3 linked regions of the Astyanax mexicanus genome follow. The protein of the gene in region 1 purifies or fractionates together with the protein of each later gene. This does not show direct contact. Links are inferred from orthologs where the notes say so. Each region holds a gene or a part of one and is shown on either strand. Other genes may lie near its edges.

Evidence for each region.
Region 2: the proteins of rpl18a (region 1) and nifk fractionate together in Homo sapiens (co-fractionation; 3 studies listed by BioGRID and IntAct, with this or other methods). This does not show direct contact. The link is inferred for Astyanax mexicanus from reciprocal best matches to the Homo sapiens genes RPL18A and NIFK.
Region 3: the proteins of rpl18a (region 1) and ddx56 purify together in Homo sapiens (affinity purification with mass spectrometry; 3 studies listed by BioGRID and IntAct, counting the BioPlex papers as one, with this or other methods). This does not show direct contact. The link is inferred for Astyanax mexicanus from reciprocal best matches to the Homo sapiens genes RPL18A and DDX56.

The regions. Positions count from the first base shown.
Region 1 is NC_064409.1:44,638,013-44,648,505, forward strand, and holds rpl18a (60S ribosomal protein L18a), read left to right. Parts: upstream 1-5,135; 5' UTR 5,136-5,266; coding exon 5,267-5,284; intron 5,285-5,939; exon of another isoform or gene 5,940-6,074; intron 6,075-6,907; coding exon 6,908-7,087; intron 7,088-7,360; coding exon 7,361-7,490; intron 7,491-7,609; exon of another isoform or gene 7,610-7,745; intron 7,746-8,111; coding exon 8,112-8,221; intron 8,222-8,512; coding exon 8,513-8,605; 3' UTR 8,606-8,663; downstream 8,664-10,493.
Region 2 is NC_064418.1:8,213,915-8,225,036, reverse strand, and holds nifk (MKI67 FHA domain-interacting nucleolar phosphoprotein), read left to right. Parts: upstream 1-5,878; 5' UTR 5,879-6,270; coding exon 6,271-6,384; intron 6,385-7,208; coding exon 7,209-7,331; intron 7,332-7,561; exon of another isoform or gene 7,562-7,688; intron 7,689-7,772; coding exon 7,773-7,881; intron 7,882-7,997; coding exon 7,998-8,209; intron 8,210-8,311; coding exon 8,312-8,371; intron 8,372-8,434; exon of another isoform or gene 8,435-8,561; intron 8,562-9,255; coding exon 9,256-9,456; 3' UTR 9,457-10,511; downstream 10,512-11,122. Other genes in the region: si:dkey-219c10.4 (high affinity cGMP-specific 3',5'-cyclic phosphodiesterase 9A), read right to left, coding at 372-549, 2,071-2,130, 2,227-2,369, 2,914-3,016, 3,105-3,156, 3,282-3,443, 4,413-4,500.
Region 3 is NC_064427.1:2,358,297-2,369,071, forward strand, and holds the start of ddx56 (probable ATP-dependent RNA helicase DDX56), read left to right. Parts: upstream 1-6,619; 5' UTR 6,620-6,687; coding exon 6,688-6,744; intron 6,745-7,803; coding exon 7,804-7,965; intron 7,966-8,292; coding exon 8,293-8,450; intron 8,451-8,574; coding exon 8,575-8,745; intron 8,746-9,327; coding exon 9,328-9,418; intron 9,419-9,662; coding exon 9,663-9,904; intron 9,905-10,519; coding exon 10,520-10,669; intron 10,670-10,775. Other genes in the region: ccar2 (cell cycle and apoptosis regulator protein 2), read right to left, coding at 454-570, 662-785, 992-1,155, 1,321-1,431, 1,706-1,925, 2,044-2,190, 3,215-3,332, 3,428-3,563 and 3 more. UniProt on the Homo sapiens protein: Nucleolar RNA helicase that plays a role in various biological processes including innate immunity, ribosome biogenesis or nucleolus organization. Plays an essential role in maintaining nucleolar integrity in planarian stem cells.

The sequences.
Region 1 (10,493 bases):
CTAAGGTTTTGTAGTTTTTATTCGTTTTTATATATTTTTTAAAGCTTAGTTTTAGTTTAGTTTTATTAGTTTTAGTTTTTTTTTGCACTTTGTGTTATTTGTCAGATGCAGGAGTCAAAAAGGTCAGAGTAAGTATTGTGTAATAAAAACTTATCAAAAGATAGCATTTAAAAACAAACTCAAATTGAATTACACAGAGAGAGGGGTGGGGATGAGAGAGAGAGAGGGTGATTGATAGAAACTAATCCATCCTCCTCATGGTGCACCTGTGTAGTAGCTAATTACCTCCTATTTCTTTTTCCAGTGAAATGTCATTGTTGGAGACCACTATGTGCTCCTCACCTCACTGAGCGATTATTCTTCATTCGTCTTGGACCTACTGCTACTGCTTGTGAAGGAAAGGTAAGTAGGGAAGGCTGTGGTGTAGTATTAACAAGCTATATGAAGAACAGATAACTGCACTGTAACCTACATTCGTTCCCTGTTAAAAGATTGAGAAAAATGTTTTATTTAAGATGGTGTTTGATGGTCAAGGTGGTTGACCAGTTTCATCAAAGAACACATAGTGTGGACAACCATCTACTTTTCGAATTAAACATGCTAATACCGTTCGACTGCAATGACAATGTGCCCTGCTTACTGTGCTGCAGTCCAAAGATGTTGATTCAGTGTGTAGTAGCATTAGATTACATTTAGCAATATATTTATTTTGACAGTCTATAGGTAAAGATACACTCGCTCTCTGTTTAGATTCATGTGTTGTTTTTTATTCATTCGAAAATAATTGCATATATGGTAGTCATGAACATGGGTAATTACTGATGGGACAATATTTCCAGAAGCCCCCAGTGCAAACACTGCCTCTGCTTGCACTTTGCCTTGTATGTATGTCATGTCAAGAATAATGTGTACTGTCTTTCTTCTTCTTCTTCCTTTTTTTTTAGCTGGTTCCTGGTTAGATCACCATGGAGTCCTTAAACATTCGCCTGCAGTGTGAAAGCACTTTTCTAGATGGTTCAGATATTTGGACCAATTACAGGAAGCAGAGGCAGAAAACAAACCAGAGGAAGAAAGGATTGGTGCTGTACTGAAATCTGACTCCCCTCGGCGTGCAGGCGCGTCACGCAACATTATAGGACACAAGCACACTGGGATATAATTTATTAACTGTAACAATATACTAAGTCTTACTTATACACAGAAATAAAATAAATCTAATGAGAATTTGTTACACTCATTCTGCTGCGGCAGATTTATCACATCACAGCAACTCGCCGAACACCTATCATTCTATAAACCAATTAATATAGAGTATAGAGAGACGCAGCCCACGTAGCTGATGATGAGAGGACATAGTAAAGTTCTTTTGTCCGCTTACTAAACTGCAGTGTGAAATGAAACCTAACCGGACCAAAAGGTACAGTGTAGCAAACACATGAACGTTGGTTCAGACCATGGTCCGGACTTTCAGGTATGAAAGCACCCTTAGTTTCATTCAATCACAGGACAGCTACTAATCATATAAAATATTGGTCCTTCATAATAGAAATGTACTATTGAGAGTTGTACAAGTGTCTGTGTTGCTTTTAAGGTGAGGAAACTGTCCACTGATCAAGGATTATAAAATGATTAACACAATCTGCATTTTTAAAAAGATAAGTTTGATTCTCTAAATGTACAGCTGAAATGCACTGATTGTCTTTGTAAAGATAATAACAAAGCAGTATGTCTCATGTTGAATGTTATAATGACAATAAAAACTATCACCCAATAAACTATGTTTAGTAGTTTTTTGTCTCCCCAAAGAGCAGCTAACCTGTAACCATAATATGTTTTAAAACAAGTACTGCTGTTATTTTTGGCTGTTTCTATAAGTTGGTCAGTACTGAATGTATTTATTAAGTTGAGAAAAAGCCTAACTTAAAAACTTAGAAATTTCTAAGAATAGAATGTTTTATGCAATGTGTGTTTTGTTATCTGTGAAATATATTTGACACTTCTGACCAAACCTTTATGGGTTTTTCTTTTTTTTTTCTGGCAAGCAAAAGTGAAATACTTTTTTGTAATTCCTGCTATGATACACACAAGATACACTTGAACTGTTTTGACCTCAGGTTGGCTTAATGCCATTTTTATAAGTGCAGTATTTGTATAGTTTTGATAAGCTATTGGTGATGGTACAAGATGTTACAATTTAGACAATGAAAATGTGATGCTTGCACAGTGAAAACACTTAATATCAATATTCACATGATAAATTGTAAAAAAAAAAAAAAAAAAAAAAACATTGACTAGCATTAAACTCACAAGTAATGTCATTTGGTTTGTAGCCTAATTAAATCTAAATCTAGCCTGTTTTGGGGCTTGAAAAAGAGCAGCCCCATTCCATTTCTGAGAAAGGAAAGATATGGAAAGGCAAAGGAAAATACCCACGTCTAGTCTGTGTGATGGGCTGCTCCCCAACCACTCTGTAATGTGAAAATCAACAGTGTTTTAATCAGCTGCACCTGCTCCATGGATAAAACCACATCTAATCGTTCTAAGGTAACGTCCTGTGTACGTTCTGTTTGGGCGAGAATAGGACCTGCTGCGTACGTTACCGAACGTCCTATAAAGGGGTGTTTGGGAACGTTATGTATGGACGAGAACAGGACCTGCTGCGGACGTTACCGAACGTCCTATAAAGGGGTGTTTGGGAACGTTATGTATGGACGAGAATAGGACCTGCTGCAAACGTTACCGAACGTCCTATAAAGGGGTGTTTGGGGAACGTTATGTATGGACGAGAATAGGACCTGCTGCGAACGTTACCGAACGTCCTCTAAAGGGGTGTTAGGGAACGTTTCATTTGGACGGTAATAGGACCTGATGCGGACGTCAGTTTGGTCCTACAAACGTCCTATAGAGAACGTTACAAAAATGCCCAAACAGGGACGTCCGCGAACGTCCCCGGGACGTTCCTTGTTTGCTGGGATTATGACAATTTTATTGTCTTAATAAAGTTATTATTATACTCAGTTTAAGTCTGTTTATGTTGATTGTGTAAGTGTAAACATAAAGCCCATGTATTGTTAAAGTCAGAGCTAAATATGAGTGATATTTTGTCCTCATAATTATTATAGCTAATTAAGTTATTAAGTTTCTCTGTTTTAATTTTGTCCAATTTGGAGTGCCTACATATAGGTTACGCAATCTTGTGTGGAATATTTACCATGTAAATGTCTATGTGTTTTTCAGCCTAGTGTTTACATTCTGCTCAGTTTAAGTCTGTTTTATTCATGTGTTAGGATAGCCTTTATTAATTATTTATTTACACATTTAGGACTTAATAAGTCACAGCTTAAAACAAAAGAATATGTGTCCGTAAATTTAAAATAAAGAGAAAAAATAAATAAACAAGCAATGTAAAAAGGAGAGAAGGTCACATTTTTTTATTGCCATGGCAACCATAATAAATATAAAATATTGCACCAAAGTTATAATATGATGTACATCATACGTATCGCATATTTGAGGTGAATAGTTAATTCTGGTGTGTTTGAGTAAGTGTAAAAGTAAATCCCACGTAAGCCTAGAAATGTCTACATAGACCATCAGTCTATCGAGGCACAAATACCTAAAATGTGTACTACCCTGTGTTCAAATTAAAGTTTTTTTTTTTGTCCTAAACAACCGAAATACCTCCTAAAACCATAGACTGTATATAGCTGGACAGAGGGTCGTCTCTCAAAAGTGAAGCCACCACAGGTCGGGCGCCCCCTGCTGTTCGGCTGCAGAAAGCCGTGTAACTCCACCCATTCCCATAGGTTTCAATGGCAAAACAGACAACTTTCAATCACGTTTTTTTCTAATATACTGTAAATCTACCTCCAATATTTTAATGCAACAGCTAGTGTAACCTCTGCTTATATTGTCAAATGTTTATATCCCCACAGAATTCGGTGTTTAAAACGTTATTCAGCTCTATTAAAAAAAGGTGTGGTTATTGTAAAAGGGCTGCTTATGGGCGGGACCATTAACAGACCGTCAGCTCCGTTCCGCCCCACTCGCGAGGCAGCCCTCAGGGGCGGGGTTATTCAAATGAGTAGGCTGCTCTCCACAGTCTTTCTCCCTCCTCTGGACTCTACTGCGCAGAATCAGGTGGCAGGATCGCCAACATGGCGGAAGATTTTGGCTTCATTTTCATTGAATGAATGGGAACGGAGATACGGAGTCCATCTTTTTTTACAGTCTCTGCCTAAAACTATTAAAGTGTAGCCAGTATAGCAATCGCTAAGAAAACCGAAGCAAGTGTCAACGCATGCGCAGAGTGCCACTGGCCTGAAACTGCTGGCTTAAATTCGTGGCTTTGCAGACAGACCCTTCTCGATTTGACAGCTGTGCACAAGTTGATTGACGGGTCGCCTGACAGCATGAACGCGTACCGCTGTCTCATAAGGAGCGGAGTTTATAGCGGGCATCTGTCTGACCTTCGTTTTTTTCTGTTTAAATTGATATTCCTGAAGTAAAACAGTGGCTTGTTCTAACAGTTCTAACAGACCCTCAGGTAAAGGTCCTGTTTTTTTTAGTAAGTATTTAGTAAGTTTCATTTCGGTCCATCAATTCATTAGTATACTTCGTCCATCGCTCTTCATTTTTAGCACAATAAGATAAGATAGTATCCTTTAATAATAATCCTTTATTAGTCAGTCACACTGTGGGGAAATCCACAGTATTACAGTAGCAAAGGGACAGCAAGGCATTCAGTAAAAAAAAGTGCAGCAGGATATCACAAGTGAAAAATACCACACCTTGATGTAGACAAGTATTCAGACACTACGCTGCCTTCTAAGTGAGATCGTGTGAAATGCATCAAGTTAGCATTTAGTGTATTTCGGACACAGAATATAACCATCTCAACACAAAGACAGCTAGCTTTGTTCATTCCCCTACATTGGCAGTTCTTTATTGGTGTTTGTGGGTGATGGCAGACAGTATAATGTTGCATGCAGGTCCTGCTTCATTGCTGCATCGAGCTCGAGGCTCCTCAGATGTCCGGGATCGTAGCTGAATCATATTGGGCAGGTATACAGGTCTGGTTGAAGGTGATGTCAGTGAGGGGTCTCTCAGCTGTGCTGCTGCGGTGTTGTTGTATGATCAGCAGGGGGCAGGTCTGAGTATCTGAGTAGTGAGGATCTGTGTGTGTGTAGAAGAAGAGCGGGAGGTTAGAGGCGGAGCTCGAGCGCGTTACTGCTTCCTTTTCCACAGTGGCAGTCAGAGAGACACCATGAAGGCGTCTGGCACAGTACGTACACATCACTTTTATACCCTTATTTACGGCGCTAGCCGCCTCTACTCACTTTATTATCTTATATAAGGTACTGATGTGTCGGCTGGGAGCCGGGCGGGCCGCTCGGGTTCGGTTTAAATGGGTTTTTTATAGTTTGATAATAGCGGGGCTGTGCGCGAGGACCAACATGGCGGCCGGCAGCGCTTGTGAAGACCATGCGGTGCGCGCGGCCGCTTTGTGCGCGTAGAGCCGACGAACAGACTGCGATTATTTTACCATTACTGTGGCGTCCGGTCCTGTAGAGAGCAGATCTGTGCTTTATAATCACTGTTTACCCCCGGGTAGATGAACCGTCCGGTGGTGGACGGAGTACTGGCGCTGTCTCTGGCCTGCTTTACTGATTACCCATACAGCTAACGAGCTAAGCTAACCAACTTACTGCTACAACATGAACAGATAGATAACTGTATACTACATTTATAATCAGATTAACACGTGTTTATAGTTATACGCACACTTGTACCTACTTACGCACTGTATGTATGTAATGTATGTCTGTGTCACTGATGGAAAGTGGTCTAGTTGCCTGTATAAGCTGTATTTGGTTCTTTCTAATAGTATTGGTGAAGGTCTGAGACTTACTGAACTGTTTAAACACAGCGAAAAATTATTTGCACACAAACCCAAAGATCATTATGTTCATGTGTAATGATCTTGCTATGTGTGCGCAAAGGAAAAAAAGAACCTTGTCGCCTTCCATAAGCTTGTACTGTGCCAATGGAAGTGAATTCAAGGTTCAACACCGTGAACTTTTTAAGGGTTACTCAGGAATTCGCACTTATCTCTACCCTAAACTTTTTTTCTTTTGCCCAATCTAGCAAATAATTCAGTGTGCATGGGTGGGGAAATAAAGTTATTTTTAAGCATCTGTATAATTTCAACTACGAGGGAGGAAAAAATATATTTTGAAAGCTTAGGCATCCCTGTGGATGTAGTAAATATATAAACTTTTTTTTTTTTTTTTTAATCGTTTGAAGCTGAAGCGCCCACAACATGCTGGAGTGTTTTAGGTACATGGGCACTGAATAAAAAAGTCAAGTTTACAACAAAAATATAGTAAGAAAAATCAGACAAAATGCTTATATATATTACACATATAGCTACATATTTTATTTATGACCCACTTGTACATTTTATTGTATTTGTAGATATGCTCTTAAGTTAGATAAAATCAACAAATGAATACATGTAAAATATGTCAATTTTTTGTTGTAACCTCATCACTGATTTATTGTGTACAGGCTTTGTGAAGTAGGATGGTTCTCAATTTAGTTTTTTTGAAATTCAGATTAAAACTAGTATGTAAACACCTCTTACCCGCATGAGTTTAGAATGAAGGCAGATTGGGTTCCTTTTACTAGCGCAGTACTACTCTTTGATTAGTCTAAATGACCGAAAGATATCTTTACAAATCTGTTTATTTTGCAGGTATAGTTAAGCTTATTTATAATAACTCCTAGAATAGTGGTTGGAAAGGCTGAGCTTTTGCAGGGTGGAAAATCTGTGTACATGAAATACATGCAGATTAAAATCCATGCCTGACTGCTCTTTCTCTTTTTGCCTTTTATTTTCTTTTAGCTTAGGGAGTACAAAGTTGTTGGGCGTCTCTTGCCCTCTGCCAAGAACCCAACTCCTCCTCTGTATCGCATGAGGATTTTCGCCCCCAACCATGTGGTGGCCAAGTCTCGCTTCTGGTACTTCGTCTCTCAGCTGAGGAAGATGAAGAAGGCATCTGGAGAGACTGTGTACTGTGGCCTGGTAAGTTTACAACTTTGCAATATTGATAGTGATAAATGTAGGGTGTTCTCAACTCTCTGTACAGAGGGCTGCATTTTTTATCTTAAATTATTAGTCTCTCTATGAAATCCAATATGACACTTACTTCATTGCACAACATTAACAAACACCTGCTTTGATTTAAGTGTTTAGAGCTTACCTTGTAATGGAATATACATGGTGCCTCTTTTACAGTAACTGAGGAGACTTGGCAAGGTGTTAAAAAATTTCACAAATGTGTTATTTTATCTCTAGGTTCATGAGAAGACTCCTCTGAAAGTAAAGAACTTTGGCATCTGGCTGCGCTATGACTCACGTAGTGGCACCCACAACATGTACCGCGAGTACAGAGACCTGACCACCTCTGGAGCAGTCACCCAGTGCTGTGAGTGCCAACACACAATACCACCACACCTAAGATTCCTGTCTTAAGTTCTGCAAATAGTATTGGTGGATGGCTTATGAATGATTCACATTTTTTTTCAAGAGAAAGCATGAAAATGAGTTGCACACAAACCCAAAGGTCATTATATTCATGTGTAATGTTCTTGCTATGTGTGCGCAAAGAAAAATCCAAGGACCTTGTCGCCTTTCATACGCTCTTATGTGCCAATGGAAGTGAATTCAAGGTTCAACATGTCAAACTGCCATTTTTACTCCTGCAGATTTTTGCTTCATTAATTTTAGTCCTGTTAACCCCATACTGCACATTTGTGTACATTTGCCTTATCTAGCAGCTAATTGAGTCTTGTGAAGTTAGTCATCCTGTGCTTGGTCAGGGAAATTAATTGTGCAGAGTATGGGTTCTCCTAGGAACAGGAGTGCCCTGTTTTAGTTAGTTGTTAGCTTGGGTAGTGTCATAATGAAATCTAGCAATTTTGTTTTTAATCTCAACAGTGATTTATACACTAACTTGGATAATAGGGTTATTTGATTTGTCTGATCCGTCTGATCCAAAATTGCGTCTCAGCTAGCTAACCGTTTTGCCCCATGTTTTGATTTTCAGACCGTGATATGGGAGCTCGTCACCGTGCACGTGCCCATGCTATTCAGATCATGAAGGTGCAGGTGATCGCTGCTAACAAATGTCGTAGACCTGCCATCAAGCAGTTCCATGTAAGTATTTCTTTTTTTTTCCTCTCCTTTCCCCCTTATACCCAACTGTCTACTGAGTTCTTACTTGGAGTTGGCTCTAAGCAGCAGGTCTCTCACTGTACTGGTCCCTTATGGCCAGCTCTGGTAAAAAGCCTGCAAGAATAAACAGCTGGATTCCTCTTCCAGATAAAGTCTACTGTCTTTAAATCTGGCGGCTTTGAACACTGGCAACATCCTCTTAAGTCTCAAGAACTGATGGCTTTTAATTTACTGTGACCATTTGTTAACCTGGCTCTTGTCTCTATTTAACAGGACTCCAAGATCAAGTTCCCCCTGCCCCACAGGGTTCTGCGCCAGCAGCACAAGCCCCGCTTCACCACCAGGAGACCAAACACATTCTTCTAAATTGTATGTTCTTGCTGTTAAGATTGCTGGGGAATTAAAGAAATATGACACAACTAAAGCTTTGTCTGAATTAATTATATGTAAAACTAGCTAACTTTAATGAAGTTAAACCAGCAGCAAGCAATATATCGGTGCATGATTTAATGGGTCCTTACTATGCAGATTTAAGCTTTATTTATGTCTTAGATTATTTAAATTATGCATTTTTGCTAAGTGACAGCCATTCGTGTCTAAGTTCTTGTTTTAAAACAAAAAAATAATTACTTCAGTTTGTAAGGGTTTTTTAACTCAGCCAGCCCAAAAATTTCACCTGAAAGTGAATGCTAAATTGCTTACAAGCTCATGTTCCTGCTTCTTTATGCTGGTTTTACAGGTAATTTGTGTTAAACAGACTACACAAATTGTTGCCACTGAGCAGCAATTCCTGTTAGTATGGCAGTTTCACCCCAAACTTGAGGGTTTCTTCAGAGCAACTGCAACAACTAAAATAAAATTTATGGGAAAACATAAAATGCAAATTTAAGTGCCCCAACCACAGTCTTCCTACACATTTTAATGAAAAATAAATACTTTGTATTCTAAATGTTGTAGAGTTACAGAAAATTTATTCAAATGGTTAATTTGGGGATTCCATAAGAGAACCACTTTTACTTTCATTAAGAACTACAGTGGGGGGGAAAAAGTTTTTGATGCACTGCTAAATTTTTCTACCTACCAAAGAAGGGAGAGGGCTGTAATTATTTTCCTAAGCACACTTAAACTGTAAACAATAAAAAAAATCCAGAAAATACCGATACAGATCTTGTCCAGATCCTTTGGGTTTGGGGCTCTGTTTGGGCAACTTTGACTTTCAGATCCCTCCAAAGATCTATTGGTTTTAGATCTGGAGGCTGGCTAGGCCACTCCAGGACATTAATGCTTCTTATGGAGATATTTCTTAGTTGCACTGGCTGTGTTTTGGGTTATTGTCATGCTGGAACACCCAGCCACAACCCATCTTCAATGCTCTTGCTGTACTGAGGGAATGAGGTCCAAATTATTGCGATATATGAACCCATCTATCCTCTTCAATATGGTGCAGTGGTTGTGGCGTTTATCGCCGCTAATAATCACTCCAAATCGTCAGGCAGGTTGTAAACAAAGCATTGCTCTTTATTGAATACCAGGCGCGAGCCTCCCAGCTCGCGAACGGGTGAATAAAGTCTGATTCACACATGCGCAGTAGGCACTTACATCACTAGAACAGGTTATACTCCACATGACAGTGGTCCTGTCCCCTTCACAGAAAAATGAGCATGGACGTGTCTTGAATATTGTTCTGTAGCTCATCCCAGCCTTGTGCAGGTCTGCAGTTTTGTCCCTGGTGGTGTTAGACAGCTCTTTGGTCTTGACCATGGTGGAGTGGTTTGAGTGTGATTGAGTTTGTGGACAGGTGTCTTTTATACAGGTAATTAGTTCAAACAGGTGCAGATAATACAGGTAATGAGTGCCGAACAGAAGAGCTTCAGGTCTTTGACAGCCAGAACTCCTGCTTGGTTTTCCAATACTTATTTAATGCAAAAAATAATAAATAAAAAATCATACCATGTTATTTTATGGATTTTGTTTTAGATTCTGGCTACCCACCATAACAATTACATACCTCTCGATTTATTGTAGGTGGGAAACTTGTTAAACCGGCAGTATATTAAATAACTAATTTCTGTTTTTTTTCATGGTTAAAACCATGTACAGAGCTGATCATTTAAACCACTTGAGCAGGTGATCTAAGATGCATTTGAGGCATGTTACAGCAGAGCAAAAACTTACCTCTATCAAAGAAGCATTCAGCAACCAAAACCCCTTTCATTGAAAGGAACTGAAACACCACATTAGTGCTGGCCGATTA
Region 2 (11,122 bases), on another chromosome or scaffold:
CAGTGGCTCATTATAAGTCCCATTTTTATAGTGCTGTTTTTTTCCTCCTTCACATTGTATGTGTGCAGAGAATTGTCAGTAACCATGGGCTGCGAAGGATACATCAGTTGCGTCCTTGAAATCCAAACCATCACCTAATCAGGTATTAGTTTGCTATCAACCATAAACAAAAATAGCCATGCTTTTTTGTTGTGACTATATTTAACACAAATCAAGCAGTAGCTATCTAGTAGTTATCTATCAGGCAGTATGCCCTTTACTAATGCCTGGAAGGTCGAGTGGACAATTGAAGTACTTGTGGTCAAGCTGAGCTGATTGCAATGTCAATCCCTTTCTCTCTCTCTCTCTCTCTCTCTCTCATGCTCTCTCACCATCTGAGTGACACAGAAGCAGTGTTTGAAGTTGTGGAATGGGATGTTGTTGTAGCGCTTGTAGACCTCATAGAGAAACTGCTGCAGGACGTCCAGCTCTATGTTGAAGGTGGAGATGAAGTCCAGGTCTGTATACATCACCTGAAGCAGCACCATGATCTCTGCGTCCTCCCACTGCCTAAACACAGAGACATGCTTTTCACACTGTATGGACATTAGATGATTAATGAATTATCTGATGAGCTAAAAATGCTGCAAAAATTGGATTTTGATGCAAAAAATTTTTTTTAAATTGTATGTAGTAAATGTATGGTTAGTTTGTTGTGTCATTTTACCAAGGGCAATTATGGAAATGTTACAGATTATGATTAAAAACCAAAGCAAAAATTTTAATTATATAAGAAATTACAGTTATGTTTAGTAACAAGCTTTTGATTGGTGGAGACAGAAAAGAGGGGCATCAGTAGAGAAAAATATTAGTAAAAGGGAGGAGATGTGTTGGTTATGAACATGTAAGCAAGAAAAGGATTGTATTTTATAGGAAATAAGATTAACAGGCTTCAAACATGTTCCTCCTTCCAAAATCTTGTTATTTTCATAATGCCACTTAGTGGACATGGGTATTAAATCCATAACCTTGTGATTAATAACAAAATAAAAACCTACGATCTAACGTTACTTCATGAAATTTAAGCTTTTCCGGTTTCCCCACTTGTTTTGCTGCCCAGTTTTTCTGTATGTCTGTATGTGAGGAGGATCATTCTTTTCTTATCATTTTTAGTCCTGACCACAACATGATGCTTTGATTCCTGCATTCTGATTGAAGTTGCACGAGCTAAGATGTTCATGTTTTTGTCCCCTTCACGCATTGCCTTTATCACTCCAGCAGGCTTTAATAGTGTTCTTTGATAGAGACACAAACCTGACACACATTTACGTCCAAACAGTGTTTGCATCCGTGCAGAACCCTGTTTTGTTAATCTGAAAGGCCTGGGTTCAAAAACTAATCCAGAAGACCACTGCATAAATACAGTCTTCAAAGCATGAAGCCGAGTGCTCTGTTCTGAAGGACTGCTATTGATTTGTAAGCCCCTGGAACAACCATTCATATTGATATGAGTTCTTTTGGGCAGATGAAAGGACTGAATCTCCTCTGGCCTCTTTATGCACGGCAGAGGAGCTGCGCTTTCACTTCTGCAGCGAATGTTCATTTTGCTATAGCAGGTGCTCAGCTCATTTGTTGGACTTACATAGGCTAATGATGTTTAATATTTTAGCACCTTGTGCCTAGAGGGATATAATCATCCTTTATTAAATAAGTCATAGGAAATCATTGTCCCAAAAATAGTGAAATATAATGTAAAATAATTTATACTATGTGCACACTTGTGACTATGCTGATAGCAAGACTGTTCACTTTGCTTTTGGAGTTATTTATTCAGTGAATTGCTCTCACAATATGATTTCCTTTCCCATACCTCACCTTTCCACACCTCCCTGTACCTCAGTTTAATCTTCTCCCTGTACCTCAGTCCCATCATCTCCATGTACCTCAGTCCCATGTCCTACCTCCCCTCTCTACCTCAGTTCTATCTCATCCTGTACCTTGGTGTCATGTCCTACCTTCCCTTTCTAGCTCAGTTCTCCTCCCTGCACCTCACTGTAAGCTGAATTGTGTTGATGTTTAAGTTAAACTCACCAGTTGTCAAAGGTGGGTGTCTTCAGGTATTGTCTCACCTCCTCTGAGACCTCCAGAGTACTGTGTGAAGACATTTCAATAATGTTAAACTCACTTAACCAAAAACTCTGCGTAGTGCTGCAGAGCAGGGACTAAAAGTGAAGATTTGTAGCTCACCTCATCTGGAGGAACTTTTCCCGGACGTGCTCACACTCTTCACGTGTCTTGCGCAGCGTTCTCTTATGGTAGAACGGTGAAGGTTTATGGGGTCTCTCTGAGAGTTCTTTAAACAGCCCCAGCCAGCTCAGGTGCTCCACACTCTAAAGAGAACAGAAACTTATAAACACAACCAGGCAGAAAGAAAAGGGTGATTTCATTTAAAATGGTAAAAGAATTGCATAGACCTGGATTAAACTCCTAAAGGCCTGGACGGGGCCTACATTTCATTTTTTATTTACTCATTACTTATACATAGAAATAACTGTGTGGCAATGGGCAATGCTGCTCTATGCAGATTATGCAAACTGTGTGTATCTACACAGTTTGGTAGCATCATGTAATAGTGGAGGCCTAACCATGGGAAAGTATTTTGAAAAGACTAAATTGGGATGAAAATTATGTCAAATTAAATATGTCTTTACATATCCAAGACTTTTCAAAGTGGAAATGGTTCTTTGCCTGGTTGGAGTTCTTTACATTTGTGGGAAACTTTATTGTAACTGGATTGATTTTGGATGGTGCAAATGGAAGCTATGGTTTACTAGTCTGTCAAACCATTTAAATGATTATGGTTGAATTGATCACTTTAGATAAATATTGGCCAAAGAAAGACATTTCCAGATATATGTACAGATATGAGTTTACCTCCAGTTTTTCCCGGAACGACTCCACCTGTCTCTTCATCTCATAAACAATGGCCGGAGTCTCACTAGCTTCAGTAAGAATCTTCTTCTCCAGGCTTTGTAACCTGGTTGAGAAAGTGTACTTTCTAAGTTTATTTAAAAAGTACATGTCTGACAATATGTGGACTCAGATTATACACACAGTATGTCTACCTTTTCTCCATGGAGGACAAATCGAAGCCCAAGGCCACTGCCAGCTCTGTACCTGAAACATATCACAGCAATCGATTTCTCATATGAGTGAATTTTCTCCATATTGTCATTTCAATCATGAAGGACAGCTAGTTCTGCAGTTCACCAGCTTGTCTCCAGTTTTAATTCAGAGAATACCTAATGGCTCACTGTTGCAGTCTGCAGCAACCACCTCCAGCTTGTAGCAGGAATGAGGGCTGTTTGGGGTCAGCTGAGGGGAGATGTTGATGATGTTGCCTTTGGGGTTGTAGAGCTTTAGGATATCGTGAGGCCCAGCTTCAGCTGCTGATCGGAACAGATCTGTAGGAGAAACATTTACACACACACAAGGCTGGGAAAGGGTCATATGTACTGTATATTTACTAAAGATTATATAGCTGCTGCCAAAACAAATCCCAATTCTGTTGAGAAGGAAATTTCCAACCCATCCATTTCCAAACTATATTTTTCTGGTATTTTTCAAAGACATTTAATCTTGTGTTAAAACAACACTATATATATCAGTGTTTTTACCTTAAAAAAACAGCTTCAGAATCAAAGTGATACAAATAAAATAAAAATATGTCTCACTCTACCCCCTAAAGTGGTTTGATTAATTAGGTTTGTATCTGTTTTAAATATGTCTTGGGTAAGCTACACTTCATATGTATCTGGCTTGGCCTTTTTCAGACATATCCTGATACTTAAAGTGTACACACATTAATTGACCAATTGTGAGCAGTGTCTTATGTTGTGTTTGAATCTGTCTAGAACCCACGTGAACGTGGATGTGACTCCAGTTCTGAGGAGAACACCATGAAGTATGTTGTGCACTTGATGCAGAGCCTTGTCAGCTCCACCTGTGGCCCATTCTCTTCAACAAGATCTCTCTCTCTCTCTTTCTCTCTTACTCTCTTTCTTACTTTCTCCCACTCTCTCGCTCTGTCTTTCTCTTTCTGTCTTTCTTACTATTTCTCTTTCTTTCTAGGATAGGAAAATAGGAAAACACTGAGGACATCAATACAGGTACAGATGAAATTTATATATAAAGCTGGATACTACATGTTTTTTATGCTTTCAGCCTAATTGACAATTCTAAATAAATTCTCATCATAGTCCTGCTCACGTCATCACATTTATAGCAATAAGAGCCAGTACATGAATTTGCCTGACATTTAATGATATTTCTTCCAAACTACGGTTCGACCTTCGCTCCACTTCATTACGTTATTATTTATAAAACAACCTTCAATAATTCTAAATAAATAAATGAATTAAATGTGTCCTCACCTTTGACATCCTGTGCAGGACAGTCAACAGGGAACTCTGCTTGCTCTGGTCTTCCGTTCACTGTAAAATAAATGATTTTAGATTCCATGCCAGATGCTGACTCTCCCTCACTTCCTGCAGCTGAATGATCTGTTTACAGTGTGACATCTATTTAACAGAGGGCCACTTCACAACTCCTCCTCCTCTCCTGTCCCTCCTCCTCTACTGCCATCCCTCTCTCCTTTCTTAACCACCTGGACTGGGCTGCACCGTCTTGTTTATGTTCCATTTTAAATCTGTGTATACTGTCTAATGTATAGTGTCTGTAATAAGTCCTTAGTTAACATTGGCGAGTAGTTTCAATCTATCATTTTACTAAATGTGGTTGAACAATCTGTATGTTGTGTCTTAACTAGTAATGACTTTTACATGACAAAAGCAATTAAAATGCTTGATAATACTAGTATATACTGTTTACACTGGAAAATACTGTATTTACAGTACCAATTGACAATGCCAGTGAATATCAAAATAGCAATTTCTGCATAACAGGGTCCGTAACAATAGTATCAGCTAATACATTTGACAGAATGCTGTATGTTTTAGTGGATAATTTATGAGTTTGATATACTATAGTAGTATTTGTATAAACAGTGTAAAAGACATTTATTTGTTACACTTAAAAATGTATATTGTATGTATATTCTAATAATATCTGTACCAGAATATATATATATATATATATATATATATATATATATATATGTATATATCAAACTAATATTTAAGGTTCTGGTACAGATATTATTAGAATATACATACAATATACATTTTAAGAGCCAGTACATGAATAGAGCCAGTACATGAATTTGCCAGTACATGTATATATATATATATATATATATATATATATATATATATAGAGAGAGAGAGAGAGAAAATCCTAAAAGATGGCAGAAGCAACAAGCCCTGGGCCAATGTGGCGTAATTATAACAAATCTGTTCAAAAAGCCTTCCGCAGAGATGTACATACATTTTTACACAGGGCCAGGTTTGAATAGACATTCTCTCTCTCTCTCTCTCTCTCTCTACCCCCAGACAAAGACTGGTTATGAACTGAATGCAGGAAAGTACAACAACACTGTTATCAGAACCCCTCCCACTAGTTGCTGACACTAGAATATAACCAGACTAGAACGTGTTCAGCAGTATACATGCACACCACATTAGTTTTACTTTCAAATCATTAAAACAACACACCAAAATCTCAACCTATGCTTTATATTTGACAACATTATTTAACTGAACTGAGATTATTTAACTGAACAGAGTTTAATAAAGAGCATAATACAAAGTATTTCAGCATAAAATCACATATTTATAATGTGTGACAGTGCCATGTATCATTATTACATCTCTGCCGTTTGTAACAAACCAAACTCTTATAAGAAAAAATCCATTGATGGAATAACCTGGTCTATATTCAGTATATTCAGGTAGTCAGCTGACCTCATTCTTTCAGCACATACTGTTGCTGAACCCAGACCTAACCAACTGCAGCAACCCAACCCCACATAATTGATCCTTGGTTTAATCCAGGTGGCGACTTATTTTATTTGACTAGGCACGGTATATGACCAAATGAGCTGATTTTAGAGGACAGTGCTTTGTGCAGAGTCCTCCTTTCCAGATGGGGTCTCTGTATTTCAGTATTTGAGTCGATGGGGGACTTTTATTGTGAAATATTTCCGGTTTTCCGCCATGTGTTACGCTGCTGTTCTTCCTCAGTAGAAACGTGGTTGGTGGCGAAGCAGCGGGCTGTGTGTGTAAGTGTAGTTGTATAGTTTTTTTCTGTATTTGAGCTGTGTTTATATTAATCATGACTGAGGGCAAGAAGTCCTCCAAGACCAGCCCGAAGCTGCTCGCCCTGAACCCCGCGGAGGACGCCGAGTTTCAGAAGAAAATCCAGCAAGTGAAGGGTCGCCCCAGAGCGGTAACTATGCTACACTCTACTAATCCTCATGCTGTAGAGCAGCAGTGTTATTGCTGAGAGTTAATGAGTGAGGACTGTGTGAGATATCAGTAAAATGTTTAAATCTGCTCTGTTTGTGTCATGATGAAACTACCAGTGTGACTGATTTTCTGTTTTTTCCCTTTAATCCTCGTGTATTATAAATTCAATGCACTTTAACATGTGGAACACGTGGTAAATTAGCTTTAGCCCTGTTAAGTGCTTACAAACCTTTCTCAGGACCTTCAAAAAATTAGTTTTAATTCTCTATGACACGGTGTTGTCGTTATTGCATTGTCCTTTTAATGCGTTTTCTATTGTTACTGAGGCTATATTGTTTAAAACAATTATTTTTATTTTCATTTTATCAACCTACTAACATTATTTTACCGGACAAATATGAAAATCTGCCATATTGGTTTTGTTTTAGGAAACAAAATAATGTAACTCATCCATACTTATTTATTTTGTATGTATTAACTTTAATTGTTATAATTCAGAGTATTTAGTGTAAATCAGATTTTTTCTGTTCATTTTATGTAGCTTTACCTGTTATGGTGCGTCATAAACTATACACTGACAATAGAGATATTACAAAAAGTGTGTGTGTGTGTGTTGTGGGAGGTCTCAATAGCCATGTAAATTCTAAAAATATTCATTGTGCAGCTTCCATAGGTTTGTTAGGGTTGGATTAACCGCAAAAAAGTTCCTTAAGGATCTAACCGTATTTAACCGTAGTTTATGTAGCCATTTATGTTTGATTGTATGTGTCTTGTTTAACCCTCCTGTTCTGTTTTTCCTCTCAGACCCTGAAGCCTGGAGTGGTATATGTGGGCCACATTCCCCAGGCCTTGGCTGAACCGCAGCTTAGACCTTACTTTTCACAGTTTGGCAAAGTTACAAGGTTACGATTGTCCAGAAGTAAAAAGGTGAACTTTTTTTTTTTAATTCAAACAGGTTTCCTTTATTTATTTATTTTTATTGTAGTAATATTTACTTTGATTGTATGCATGAAGGGTCATGTTTTCTAGAAATAATTCATTTCAGACTGAGATAAAATGTGTAAATGTGTTTAATTTCCTTATTGTGTCCTAAGGAGATGATAAAAGAAGTTAAATAAGATGAATAGGTAAATAGTAGTAGGGTTCTGGATATAGGCATATTCTGAAAATTACCTTCAGCATGGCCGTTGCTGTGGGTAAGATAATTGTGCCAACAGAAACGTGGTACATTTAGCTTATTGCCAGATGATATAGCTGTGCAATGAAACCCATGTGCCTACAGGCTAAAAAGCTGTGGATGTTTCTGCAGCTGTGTCAATCACAATTGATTAAATAATTTTGACTGATCTTGCTCTTTTTCATTCTTAGACTGGCCGGAGTAAAGGCTATGCCTTTGTGGAGTTTGACTGTGATGAGGTTGCCAAGATTGTGGCTGAGACCATGAACAACTACCTTATTGGGGAGAGGCTGATCAAATGTGAGTAAAGTAAATTAATTTAATTTGTTTTTTTTGTTTTTTTCTTTGTTACGGTGGTGCAGTATAATGCCAGTGTTAAAATGTCTTGTTTACTTATAATATAATATTTTGAACAGGTCACCTGATTCCTCCAGAGAAGGTCCATGAAAAACTTTTTGTTGGTTCTCAGAGGATTTTTAAAAAGCCCAGACTTCCTGCAGTTGCACGGTACAATAAAAGTCACAGCTCAGAAGATCTGAAGAAAGTTACAGGGAAACTTCTAAGAAAAGAATCCAAGCTTCGCAAGAGACTGGCAGAGAAGGGCATTGACTATGACTTTCCAGGATTCGTAAGTTTTCTTGTTTTCTATATGTCTTATAACATTTCGTATATTTTGCGTGTTGGACTAAATCAATAATGCTGCTACACTTTTTGTTCTGTTCTTTTACAGGCAGCTCAAGTTCCTGCGAAGAAAGCTCAGTCAGGTGCTGACACATCAGTCTGTAGTGAGGTGAGCTCTGATGTGGAACAATTATAGAGATGTTTAATGATGTAAAGAAACATATTTCAAGGCACAGTCTGAAAATTACTCCAGTTGTCTTAGTTTTCTGGAGTAAGATAACTGTGCCAACATAAAATTGGTACATTTAGCTTATTGTCAGCTTATATAGCTGCACAATGAAACCCATGTGCCTACACCCTACTGCTTATGTGTTCCTACTTATCCTGTCATTATGTATGTTAGCATATTATGGTGTTTTTAACACCTTCATTTTTAAGTCTGGTTAAATTGATCTTTGGTTTACCTTTAAGTTTGAACCAAACCGCTCTGAAGGTGCAGTATCACCTACATTTCCCAGATATTTACTACAGCTATAAACAAATGCACTGTCTGCCATTGTTCCATGTTGAATTACACAGATGTAATAACAATCAATACAGTAATTTGTCACAAAATAAACCTTAACTACATAGCTGTATTTATTTTTTCTTTCCATTTAAATATCCATCTCTTCTTAAATAAACAAAAAATGTCTCACAAATGAAACATAACCAGAATTACCATCAATAATTAATCCTAGTAAAGGTCATGATTGATTTTTTTTTTATTTCCCAAAGTCTCAGATCAGGACTCTGTATAACAATTTAAATTAAATTATATTTAATTTGTATAACAAATTATACTGGCAAAAGAAAATGTAAAGTTAGGAAAATCAGAATAAAATGACACCGAATGAAAATAAATACATCGGTGCATGACTAATTGGATTGTGTGTATTGTTCCTCAAATACATGTAATATGGCATTGTTTAGGTCATAAAATTATCAGAAATATTGGATTTAATTTGTAACAGTTCAGCAGAATATTTGATTAATGATTTGTCTGTTTTACAGGACGCCACCCCAGTATGTACCCCTTCAATCCTGGAGAGAAGAAAGTCAATAAGAGTAGAGGATGATGACGTTGATGATGAGATTGTCCTCAAAACACAGTCGGTGAAGAGTGAAGATGTTGAAGGCTGTGAAGAGGACACTGAGGAGGAAGAAGAGGAACAGGCAGAAGCAGAGGGAGCATCGGATGATGTGGAGGGTTGAACCTCTCTTCTGTTCTTTAGGACTGTATTAGTTCTTTGGGGAGAAACATCTTCCTAAACTACTAAGCTTTCATGATTTGTATATAAGACTTTCTCAGTTCATCACACAGATGGACAGATAGAGAAAACGCACAGCTGATGCCCTCATTGAGACTTGAGGAACTGTTTCAGCATTTGTGCATATATTGTGCATTACATTTGCTTGTAATGCAGATGTTATATATATGTGTGGCTCTGTTCTGGCTGTGGTTTAGCATTTAGTTGCTTTGCTTTGTGTAAAGCAGACTAGAGCTTTACAGAGTCATGTTGAGCTGTATAATACACACAGGACTATGTATCACCTGAATAAAATGTGTGTGAGTTTTCTTCCCTAAATAATTTTGCTCCACAGCAGTAGAATGAGGGATAAATCACAAATATGGAAAAGCAAAAATTGTGCTTGTGTCCGAATGGTTGTTAAATATATACCTGTTAATAAAGTTATGCAGGAGAAGTCTGAAGTGGACTTGGTTTGTAGTGAAACATGATATCGAGTACAAACATTTGTTGAATAGCCCACCTCTGAAATACAGCACTTTTAGCCAAAGTTCCCTATTTTTACACCATTAACAACAAGCTCATTAAGTAGCTCCGCACTTCATTGGTAGATTTGAGTGTCTCGACATTTAAAAAAAGGCACTGAGAGCTTTAAAAGTGCACAGATAGTTTATTAAAAACACTGTAAACACAGTAGCTTGAGGTAGTTAGTTGGTAGCGCCATCTTACAATTGTCACAATATGTTGGCTTATGAGCACAAACAAACAGGATAGGGTAACGAAATGCAGTGTTGAATAGAAATGCATGAATTTCAGTTGCTGCTGAAAATGTCTGTACAATACTGATGCTTTTCCACTGAATTATGGAATTAATTTTAATTAATCTTACCCATTTGTGCCCGTCCGTCGAGTTACCATCATTTTGTTTTGCAGTGCCTCGTTTTAAAGGGATCATTTGTCTTGTTAAAATGCCTTGGAATTTAACCAATAAAGTGTTGAATTACTTTGAGTAAAATGTAATTTTCTGGTGTCAAAATTTTGTGGTTTGAATTGGAGCGCAAACTTTTGCGTGACAGGCTTCCATTAAGTATTAATAGTTATATAAATGTTTGGCACCAATGTTTTGGCAAACCAGTTAACTAGCTACTCTTGGGCGAATAAATTGCGAACAGTTTAACTGTGAAAAATGACTAACGTAATGTAAAATAGGACATTTGTTTAATTTGCATTACAGAGGCATCTAAGATTTTTTATTACATTTTATTACCGTAGTGAATTACCATATTTTACAAACTTGAGGAACACGAAGTCTCTTAAAACAGCCACAAGGGGGCGCCAACGTCATTTTAATAGTTCCAGTCTTCTAACAAAGACATTTCAAGCGCAAAAACTATTAATCGTACAAATAAAACACATAAATCACTCTAGCTCATTCATAATCACCACTACGGTAGATTTACTGTACAGTCATCACTACAGCACATTTAAAATCATCACTTGAGCAGGTTTATAATCATCTCTAGAGTAGATTTACTGCACAATCATTATTACAGCACATTTATAATCATCACTACAACAGATTTAAATTCATCTCCAGAATAGATCTACTCTACAGTCATCACAACAGCAGG
Region 3 (10,775 bases), on another chromosome or scaffold:
CAGAATCGTGATATCATCATTATTGTGGGCAGCATATTGTGATAATATCGTATTGTGAGATGTTGTGATCCCTGTAATTCACACTCCTACTAGTTATAGAGAAGTCCTGATGAGTTGGTGGAGTAAATGGCCTTCTAAATTGAGGAGAAATTAAGACAAAAAAAACCTTCAAAGGAAGTTACTCTGCAAATATGATTTTTTTTTTCTTTTAACATTCAATTTCCATTAACTTTGTAAACGAAACCATGACTTTATGAAATTAAAAGAGTTTAGTTAAGCCCTGTTTTTAACAGTTAATTCAAATTAAAAGAAAATTTGTCATATTGAAACAAGAAAAATATTGAAAACAACAAATTATTCATGCAATTCTTTGTGCTTTATATCTGATTTTTAATACTTATAACAGGCTTATTATGATTCATTCATCTGTGCCTGTGAATCATTGTTGCCCACCTCAAACGCATCCTTGGTCCGGTCCACTAAAGTTGCCAGCGAGACTGTCGACAGCGTCAGGCCCTCAGCAGGCTGGACCACCAGGGACGGTTCCTCAGGGAGAGGAGAACCATCATCCTGCAAAACCACAGAGACGCAGTCTGTTCGTAATGGAACAAAATAAACACTGTTGTAAACAGCGAGATTCTCAGATATCAGACTCCCTAACCTGCTCGTTCCGTGACTGAGCCCACTCTTCTGCTGTCGGTACCAAATTCCACACATCTGGCAGCAAGATCACCACCGTCTCCGTCTTATCCCCATTCAGAAGCCTCAGCTCGGCTATTTTGTGCCTTGAAAAGGATGAAAAGGAGGGTATACACAGCACGGTTAGCATAGCATAGCGTAGCTGCATGAACAGCCAAAAATATTTCAGTAACACAGCCTATTTTATTTGAAATCTAATTAAATAATAGTAACCAAAAGCAGAAAAAATAATGTGAAAAATTGCACTACTGACGTACATCATAATGGAAAGAAATTATCTAAAAGGACTGACCACTGTGTACAAGCTGTAAGGTCCAGAGCAGTCTGCTCCTTCACACAGCGGACTGCAGTGCGTATCAGACTGCTGACATTGTTGGACGGATTGGCTCCGTCCAGTTTGGGAGACCACTGACCTCCAGGCAGCTGCAGCTCACCTGCTTTCTCCAGTAACAGAAACTGCACACAAAAAGAAGACTGATAAGTTACTGGTGGATTGGACGAGGATGGTGTTTTGCCACTGTTGGACTGCAGTGGAGTCCAAGATTCAGCTTAAACAAATGTCCACAAATGTCTTGTTTAGTGTAAATGAAAAGAAATTAGACTAAATGAGACTACACTAACCTTAAAAAGCGTTATCGGGTGAACTGCAGCTCCACGTGCCTGGCCATCCTCCGAACAGCCGCAGCACTGAGAGTAGAACTCCTTGATCCCAGGCATCGACAGCAGCATCACCTACAAGAGCAATAAGAAATGACAGGGTCAAATACGTAACATGTAAAGTTAATCAAATATTGTCACATAAAAAAGATAGGTTGAAATTATGGTGTGATGTTTCCATAAGTAGTGAACAGCTGGTTTGCATGGATACTGCTGAACATGTTCCAGTCTGGTTGTATACTACTGTCACCAACTAGTGGGAGGAGCCCCTTTGAGGGGATTCTGATAACAGTGTTGTACTTTCCTGAACTGAACGTCAAAGAATGCTTTATAGTTTTGCTTTAAGTACCTTAACAGAAAAGCCGCTGTCAGCAGAGTCTGTGGACTCAGAAGTGTCCATTGTCGTCTCAGGCTGGCTCGTGCCCACGTGGAAAATGCATGGTCCTGCGAGGGGCAGCGGCTGGCTGGGAGGGAAACCCTCTGGCCAGCAGAGCTGCACGTGAAATAGCGAGGGCGGGGCGTGGAGGTGCGGATACCGGCGCTGCAGTTCCAGACTATCCAACGCCTGGCTGAAAGTGAGAAATACAGGAATAAATCTGTTTATTTCTCAAAACAAACACACTCTATACCTACAGCATTTTTATCAATAAGCAAAGGTTTGATTTGATGTCCTGTAATCAGACTAACCTGTCTCGTGGAAAACAGGAGAAGAGCGGGACGCTCTGAGTGGCTACTGGGCTGCTCTTCTTTGGTGCTTCTTCTTCAGGAGTAGCTTTCCATCGTCGCCTCTTTAGGTGTGTGTTGTCGCCTCCCCAAGAACTTCCACCTTCCTCCCTGAGTTGTGGTACAAAGAGCAACAAACACATTGAGTGGGTTACCAATATCAAATTTAATTTACGTTAAACGGATGAAGCTTTTTGTCTGTACTCCCTGTACACTTGTATTTGTGTATATTCTCTGAAAGGTTATGTACAGTGGGGAAAATAATCATTTGCTATTGTGTTTTGTAAGTTTACGCCAATCTAAAGACATCTTTTTTTATTTTAGTAGTAATAGACAGAAATTCAACAAAATCCAGAACAAAATAATTAAATAAAAATATAAATTTATTTGTATTGATTAGGTCAAAAAAAAGTATTTGATACTCAAGCCAAACTACATGATTTACAACATGATTTAATGTACTTCTTAAGTTGCGTTTTGTTGTACTGGCTGTAAGTTTTGGGTCATTGTCATGCTGAAAGACCCACCCACGACTCATCTTTAGTGTTCTTCAGGAGATTCTCATTTAAATTTCCAGTTTACAAAATTAACAAGGGATCAAATAAATACTACGCAATATTTTTGTATATGGATGGAAAGAAGCAGCCTCACTGATTATACACTGGCAGTATAATGCAGTGCAATGGCTCAAGCAAAACAGGACCACTAATGTATTGAAAAAATGGTTTACACCATTTGCACCACTGTGTACACCACTACCTGAATAATTATCATTGGCTTATCTAACTAACACTCTTTTTGGAAACCTAATCAGTGTTTAGGATGCATAGTTGTTTGTGGGCAGTGATGGTAATTACATTTAAAATGGACATTCATTTTCATGAAGTAAAATGACAAAATGTATTTAAAATTCCTTACTGTAAATTAGATAGAATATAAACAAAAATATCTTAAACCTGAACTAAGCCTGAAATAATCAGAAATACCTAGAGAAGCAAACGGCCTTAGATTAAAACAAATACATAAACAAACCCAATGAACTCCTCTTGGTCAGTGGGAAAAAAGTAAGCAATGAAAGACAAGAAAAATGTATTTTGAAGCATTTATAACTCTGTGTTGTAACTCTGTGACTCACCAGCGTCCACCTCTTCTTCCTCCCACCGGCTCAGCGTGCCTTTTCCTGCTCCCGCCCCAACCATCAAACGGCCCCGCCCACGGCATCTGCTGGTGATGGGGCATCTGGTGCATCCCACCTAAAACGCACCAGCCAGATTCAGTAAAATCAGGATATACTTACGCCACTGAATTCAGAATTACAATCAGAATGAGGTCGGTATTCATCACTGACCTGGGTTTGGTTGCATAGTAGGAATTAGAGGAGGAATTTTGGGGGATTTGAGAAGAGGCTGAGGTTTGTTTCCCAAAATGCCCGGCTTCATGTTCGCAGACATGGATGGTAACAGTGGAGGTGGAGACTTAAATGGCTGAATGAGTAAACAGCAAAATGAACACAATACAGACTGCATTTAATAGAGAACACCACAATTAACATGATGTGGGTGTCTTTTATACTTTAAAAAAAATGATACCAGTATAATAAAAAACAATTTTAAATCACAAAATATACAAAAAAAAACTGCAACATACCTGCCCATTAAGAGCCTGCACCCTTTGAGCAGTCCAGCTGAGAGGCTGCAGAGAATCCTGGACTGCTTTCACCAACACCTTTTCACCAACCAAGGGCACCCTCCCTACAACAACACTGGAGCAGAGAAAATAGACTGTGAGCACCTAGTCATACCACACGTCACGCTCTTATGCTGTTCACTGTAGTCTAAATTATGAATTCCCGAACCCAGTGCACAGGAATCCACACCAGGGCTGGGAATCGAAATTCGAGGCCAAAAATGTACAGACTGAAAGGACTGTAAAAACAACTGAGTCCCATACTTTGGTATTGGATACAAGGTATGGTATTGGTATAAACATTTTTAAAACCTATTACAACCTCCGTGTCCAGCCCATAAGGTGCTTGATAAATTAGCTGAATTAATTAGAGACACAGTACAGTGTAGGGTCAACAGAGCCAGAACTCATCACTACCTGACCTGGAGAGAACAGGAAAAACTAGACTGACCTTATAGGAAAGCGCACCTCCTGGTCCACCATCCCATGATGGTCCTGTAGCTGTGTAACAACTCCGGTGAAGACCCGCTGCCTCATCTAAGAAAACATCCATTCATTCATTCATTCAGCATTTGATGTTTCATAGTCAGACTCAATTATCATTCCAATTTTAATTCTTAGAGTGACCACAGAAGGCACACTCAGGTAATTCCCCCCCCCCCCATTTTATTTTAAAAGACACAGTAAAACAAGTTAGCTACAGTTTGTTCCAACCAATTGTTTTTTTTATTAATAGGTAATGCTATGCCCCATCACTAGCATTGTAAACCTGTTGGGTGCGTCAGCTAAAAGTGCTGTATTTCAAAATGCTGGGGGAGAACAGAGGTGGGCTATTCAATAAAACTTTGTACTCGTTATCATGTTTCACTAAACCCCGACTTCATTTCACACCAGATTTCTCCTTTAAGTCAGTGAAACAGACTCCATGCAACCAGTCAACACACATTTAGATAACAAATCAGTCTTAAAGGAACAGCCCACATTTTTTCGTGATATAATTATAATTGTAGGATATTGCTAATTTAGATAAGGTATGTTACCACCAGGCTGATATAACATTATATTATACACTATAACAGTATAATATACAGACAATGATAACGTTAGCTAGTTAGGTAGCTAGCTGTGTGTTTTGTATGAAGCACTGCAAAAACAAGCTTGATCTCAGAATTAAGGACAAAATTCTATCATTTACACAACTATTTTGCAGAGAGTTGTTTGATTAGAAAAGCTGTTAGAATCCTAATTGTAGGATAATGGTCATTTAAGAGCCTACATAAGAATGTCACTATGCGGATATAACATTTATATAAAATAGGTAATGGTTAATATTCCTACACATCTATAGATTACCTCTAAAAAGTTGAGTTTGTTGAAATAAACATATGGCTGGGGTTGAGACAATAATTACGATAGCTAGCTTAGTTAGCCTAGTTAACCTGTGTGTTGTGTATGGAGCACTGCAAAAACAGGCTTAGTATCCGAGTAAAGGACACAATTCTGGTATAACAAACCCCTTCTGCAGATCTGTGTTCAGTAAATATATATATTATTGTGTCTAATTTACGGCTTGTAAGCACTGAAATCCCGCTATGTCTCTCAGCTTGAACCCGGTGATCCATGGCTAGCTAGCTAGCTAGCTGGGTATTAGCTAGCTAAGCTAAGCTAGCTAACTAATATCATAATGTATCTTAGCTTAGTTTACCCAGCTAACTGTAGGAATATTAGTAATACTAGCGCAACACTGCTGCTACCAACTCGCCAGAAAACACGTCCACTAAACGCTACAGCTGTTTATTCTCTCCTTAAACGTTATTTATTCTGTTAATATGATGTTTTAGTGTTTAATCGCAGGCTCACCTCAGGTTTGTGTGTAGCGTTTTGTGGTCTTCGTCGTCTGCTGCTGGGGCGGTACTGCGGCAGGGTGACACCGCCAGGGCGCAGTGCTGCTGCCACCTCGCGGCCGGAGCGGAGCTGCGCTAAAGTCGCAGCATGATCTGCCGCGGTTCTGGATCTACTGATCATTAGAATAAATAAAAAAATAATTAATTAATTAAAATAAACAAAATAAATGAATAATAATACAGCGCTTGGTCAAAATAGTGCAAATGTTTTACGCCACAGGAGAGCAAAACCACTTCTTGTAGGGCTGGTGAAAAATAATGAATCTCAGTATTATTTAAATGTAGGAATTACTATTACTCAATTACTGTTTAGAGCAGTTCAAATTCAAATTCAAAACTTACTTTTTTAAATTAGTAAACAGGCAGCACCCTTTAAAGTGATGCACAAGCACACGTTTCCTAAGGATTGTTTTATGAGATGGTACATCATTATTATGAGATAGTAAGTCATAATAATGAGATACTAAGATGTCTGTGGGTATTATCATAATTATGACTTAGTATCATTTAATAATAACTTACTAGTGGCAGAACTAGTGAATGGAACTGCAATATGTTAACATATAATAATTTCAAGAATATAAGAATACAACAAAAAAATACAAGCAATACAAAAAAATATGTTCTTTAGAGTATGATTAATTCCAAATTTCTTGTTTTTCAAAAGGGTATGAATCCTTTGTTATGCTATTCCATTAGCATTATGTCAGTTGCACTTAAAATGATAACAATATTGTTTAGCACAATAATTTCTGGGACAATAAATCGTCCACACCAATATTGTGACAGGGCTAGGAAAAAAATAACTATATATCTATCATTAGAACATATCATGGAATGATTAATAACCCCAGACTAATAAAATTGTTTTTTTTTAAAATATTTTTTAAAGGACTAATGTTATGTTCTGTATGTGTAACTGCGCAGCGCCACCAGGCGGGGTCGCTGTTTGTTTCTCTGCCGCGTCTCGAGCCTCATTACTCCGCTCCTCGCGGACCCACGTGGGCAGGAGAGAAAGATGGCAGACGACAGGCTCTGTTTCCACGAGATGGGTTTGGATGATCGTCTTTTAAAGGTATTTATCTCTGTCTGATCAACGCGGTACCGGTGTGTGAAATGCGGATGTGTGTAAACAGATAATACCGTAATAAAAACGTAATAATCAGCTTAAATTCAGCCTTTAATCACCGCGCTGTTTACTGCACCATGTCCGAGAACAGAGGCGCAGAGCCAATATTCCCAATAAAAGCAGAAATCTTCAGTTTAATCGATTTCTCGTAAAGATATACCCCTCCAATCCATAAATAATAAATGATTAAACATTTTAGGTTATGTATTTATGCTTCTGTAAAGTGTTTGTGTTGTGTAATCATACTTACAGCGCCAGTACTCTACCAGAATATTAAAGTAAACATAGGTTTGTCACAATAACACATAACTGTTTTTGTGTTGATAATATATTGTCTCATAAATATTGTCGTTAAATGATAATAATGTCAATTTAAGACAAATGTAACCCCCAGAAATATTGCTAGTGTAATAGCATAATAATACAATGACAGGTGTAATAATCAGTGTAAGAGTAATGAGCTTTTAATTGTGAATATTATACAGGCTTTGTAATTAAAGTATCCTAAAAGAAAATATAAAATCAGAAATTTAATGAGCGATATAAAGGTCAGCAAAAATTAGAAGTCCACATATTGTACAATAATCAATAATGTAATTACTAAGACAGACCTACACCTTATTTAATAATAATAAAAAAAGTCCAGCATAAAAAACAGTGTTTTAAAAATGTTTTCATCCACACAAGTTTAATAACACTTCTTGTAGGACTGAATCGTATTGTAAAAACGTTTTAACTTTTAATATAAGTCTATTTCAAGTTACTTTGGAACACTTCTATTTGTAAATTATTTATGAAAGTTTAATACAATAGAAAAAAAACAAGTCTTTGTATGTTTTTGATAGCGTTAAACATTGTAAAAAGCATTACATGAATTGGCTAAAGTAGAATATATCTATTTAAAGTTCTGAAAAGCTTAGTATTTCATTACAAGTATATAAATTCAGCATTTATAATATATTGTAGCATTCTCACTGCCTTTACGTGTTCCTTTAACCCTGTCAGGCGATCGCAGACCTGGGCTGGGCTCAGCCGACCCTCATTCAGGAGAAAGCCGTTCCTCTGGCTCTGGAGGGAAAGGATCTTTTGGCCAGAGCTCGAACCGGTTCAGGAAAAACAGCGGCTTACGCCATTCCTGTTATCCAGCAGATCCTCACCTCTAAACAGGTAATACCTGACCATGTGACTTGTGACACTTTCCCTTTCCAGATGATTATACCAATACCTGCAGAGCCTATCAAATAAAATTATCAAATAAATACACATATATTACGAATTTTAAAACATTTTACAATCTGAGCTGACTTCAAAAAATGTACTAAATGGATATTAAAATTCAAAATAAATCTGTATGTATTTTTATGGAGCAGGCCGTGCCCTGATAATCCACCAGAGGGTGGTTTCTACTTTCTGTAATAAATTATTATTTATTTGTCATTTTATTTGAGATAATAAGTTTTGATCAATGGCTGTCTTTTTTTTGTTGTGTGTTAGACTGTGCAGGGGGAGCAGGCGGTCAGAGCTCTGATTCTGGTTCCTACTAAAGAACTGGGACATCAGGTGCAGACAATGATCCGGCAGCTCACTGCATACTGCGCTAAAGATGTTCGGGTGGCAGATATCTCAGGAAAAACTGAATTATCTGCACAGAAGTGAGAACACTTTTAATAATACCATTGATTAGAATAATGTGATCAATTTGGTGCTCGGGATGTAGATGTATAGTTGATAACTGTGATAATTGTGTGCATTTTTATGCGTGTTTTTGTACTTTAGGCCCATTCTAATGGAAAAGCCTGATATTGTGGTGGGAACTCCATCGCGAGTGCAGGTCCACATTTCTGCTCAGAACCTGGTGCTGCACTCGTCTCTGGAGATGCTGGTCATTGATGAGGCTGATCTTCTGTTCTCTTTCGGTTTTGAGGCTGATCTTAAAAACCTCATCTGGTGAGTGTTTCAGACTTTATTATTATACAACAATTAACAGTATTTATTTATTGTATTGGAGACTTATTGGACACTAGACAGGGGCTTATGTGTCATGCTGTGCACCACAATGTAGACATTCGCTTTCATGTGATTGGATGAGTAAAGATATTTCTATCTCGTTAACACTATATCACCACTGTTAAACATGGTGGTGGTAGCAGCAGCAACATGTTGTGATGTTGTTTTAGCTTGTGGAATAAATGTTTCTTTACCATAACATTAGAAAAATTTGGACACAGTTATGGAGCATGCTTAAATGTCAGAAAACCAAAACATTTACTGTATTTTTTGCACTATAATGTGCACCTAAAATTCTTAAATTTTCCCAAAATTGTCAGAGTAAAGAAAAAAATAATTGTATGTATAGATTTTACTAGGAGCAGTAAAGCCACTCTGCTGAAGTACAGAGTTATACAGGAGTTTCAGTTTAGTTTCTTCAGCACCGAGACTGAAGCAGTATTAGCATTAGCTGCTAGCCTTGATAAGTGCTAGCTCTTTTGCTGTTCAGATAAACAGTTTATTATTATTCTTCCCCCACAGTCACTTACCCAAGATCTACCAAGCTTTCCTGATGTCTGCTACTCTCAGTGATGACGTTCAGGCCTTGAAAGAGTTGGTTCTGCACAATCCAGTAAGTACAGAAACACACATTTCACAGTTTTAGTACCGTTCTTGCTTTAGCATGAACCTTTTCTCATGTAGAGAAACAACCGTGGAAATGAGATTGCTTGTCTGTATACACGGACAATTCTAGCCAGAAGCCGCCTGTCACGATCATTACCATCATTACCACCCACCACGCTGTCTTTGACCAATTTTTAAGATTTAATTTTAGCTGTTAATAATCCAGTTGCCTCTCCTCCTGTTCTGTGTAGGTGACCCTGAAGCTGGAAGGCTCGAACCTGCCGGGCAGCGCTCAGCTGCAGCAGTACACGGTGAAATGTGAGGAGGACGAAAAGTTCCTGGTGATTTACGCTCTCCTCAAACTGGGCCTGGTCCGCGGCAAGACCCTCATCTTCGTGGGCACGCTGGACCGCTGCTACAAACTCAAGCTCTTCCTGGAGCAGTTCGGCATTCCTGCCTGCGTGCTGAACTCTGAGCTGCCCGTTCACTCCAGGCAAGTACTTAAAATTTTTATAAACATTTCCTAACCTTTAAAAAAATGCTTAAAAAAGTTTCTGCCTCTGCAGCTCCTCTCAGGTACAGCTGTGCTATAGGAGAGGATGATGTTTCTGCGTACTTTGGTACGCAGACACATCACAATATGCAGATCAGTTAATCAATAATACTGTCCAACCATCTGCATCTCCTTGCTATCAGAAGCACACTGCTGCAGCTCAGCCAATCAGCTCTCCCTTCTGCCCTGCGTCTAAACCCATACATCACTCAGTGCCTCTCACAAACTACCCCTCCCGTTTTTTGTTTTTCTTTGGGATGGGACTAAAGTGCTACTGGACAATTATCATTACGCCTCAGTCCACATGCTTCTTTCATTTTCAGCGATTCTTCTGTGTGTCTCAGCTTGTCCAGAAATGCATGTGTAAAGTGTGAATCAAATTGCAAACAGGAAATTCTCTGACCACAGGAGATTCTCTCACAAATACTGTACTTATGACTCCCCTGTGTGTTATTAGAATCCATATTATGAATTAATGCCAAGCTTATTCAAACAGATGTTGAGCTATTTGTGTACATAATGTTTTAATGTTTGGATGTTCTGTTTATCTTCTAGGTGTCACATCATCTCACAGTTTAACCAGGGATTTTATGATTACATCATCGCTACAGACGAGCAGGTGCTCAGTATCCCATCAGCCTCCTCTCAGAGCGCCGAGGACAAAGGAAAGAAAAAGAAGAAGAAGAAGAATGGGAAGAATAAAACGTACGGTTTGAACATCTATCTCAATATAAGACCCTAAGGTGTGAAATAGTGGCAGCACCTTAGACCTCTGGACCACTCAGAGCCCAAAGCCTCTGGTTTGGAGTGT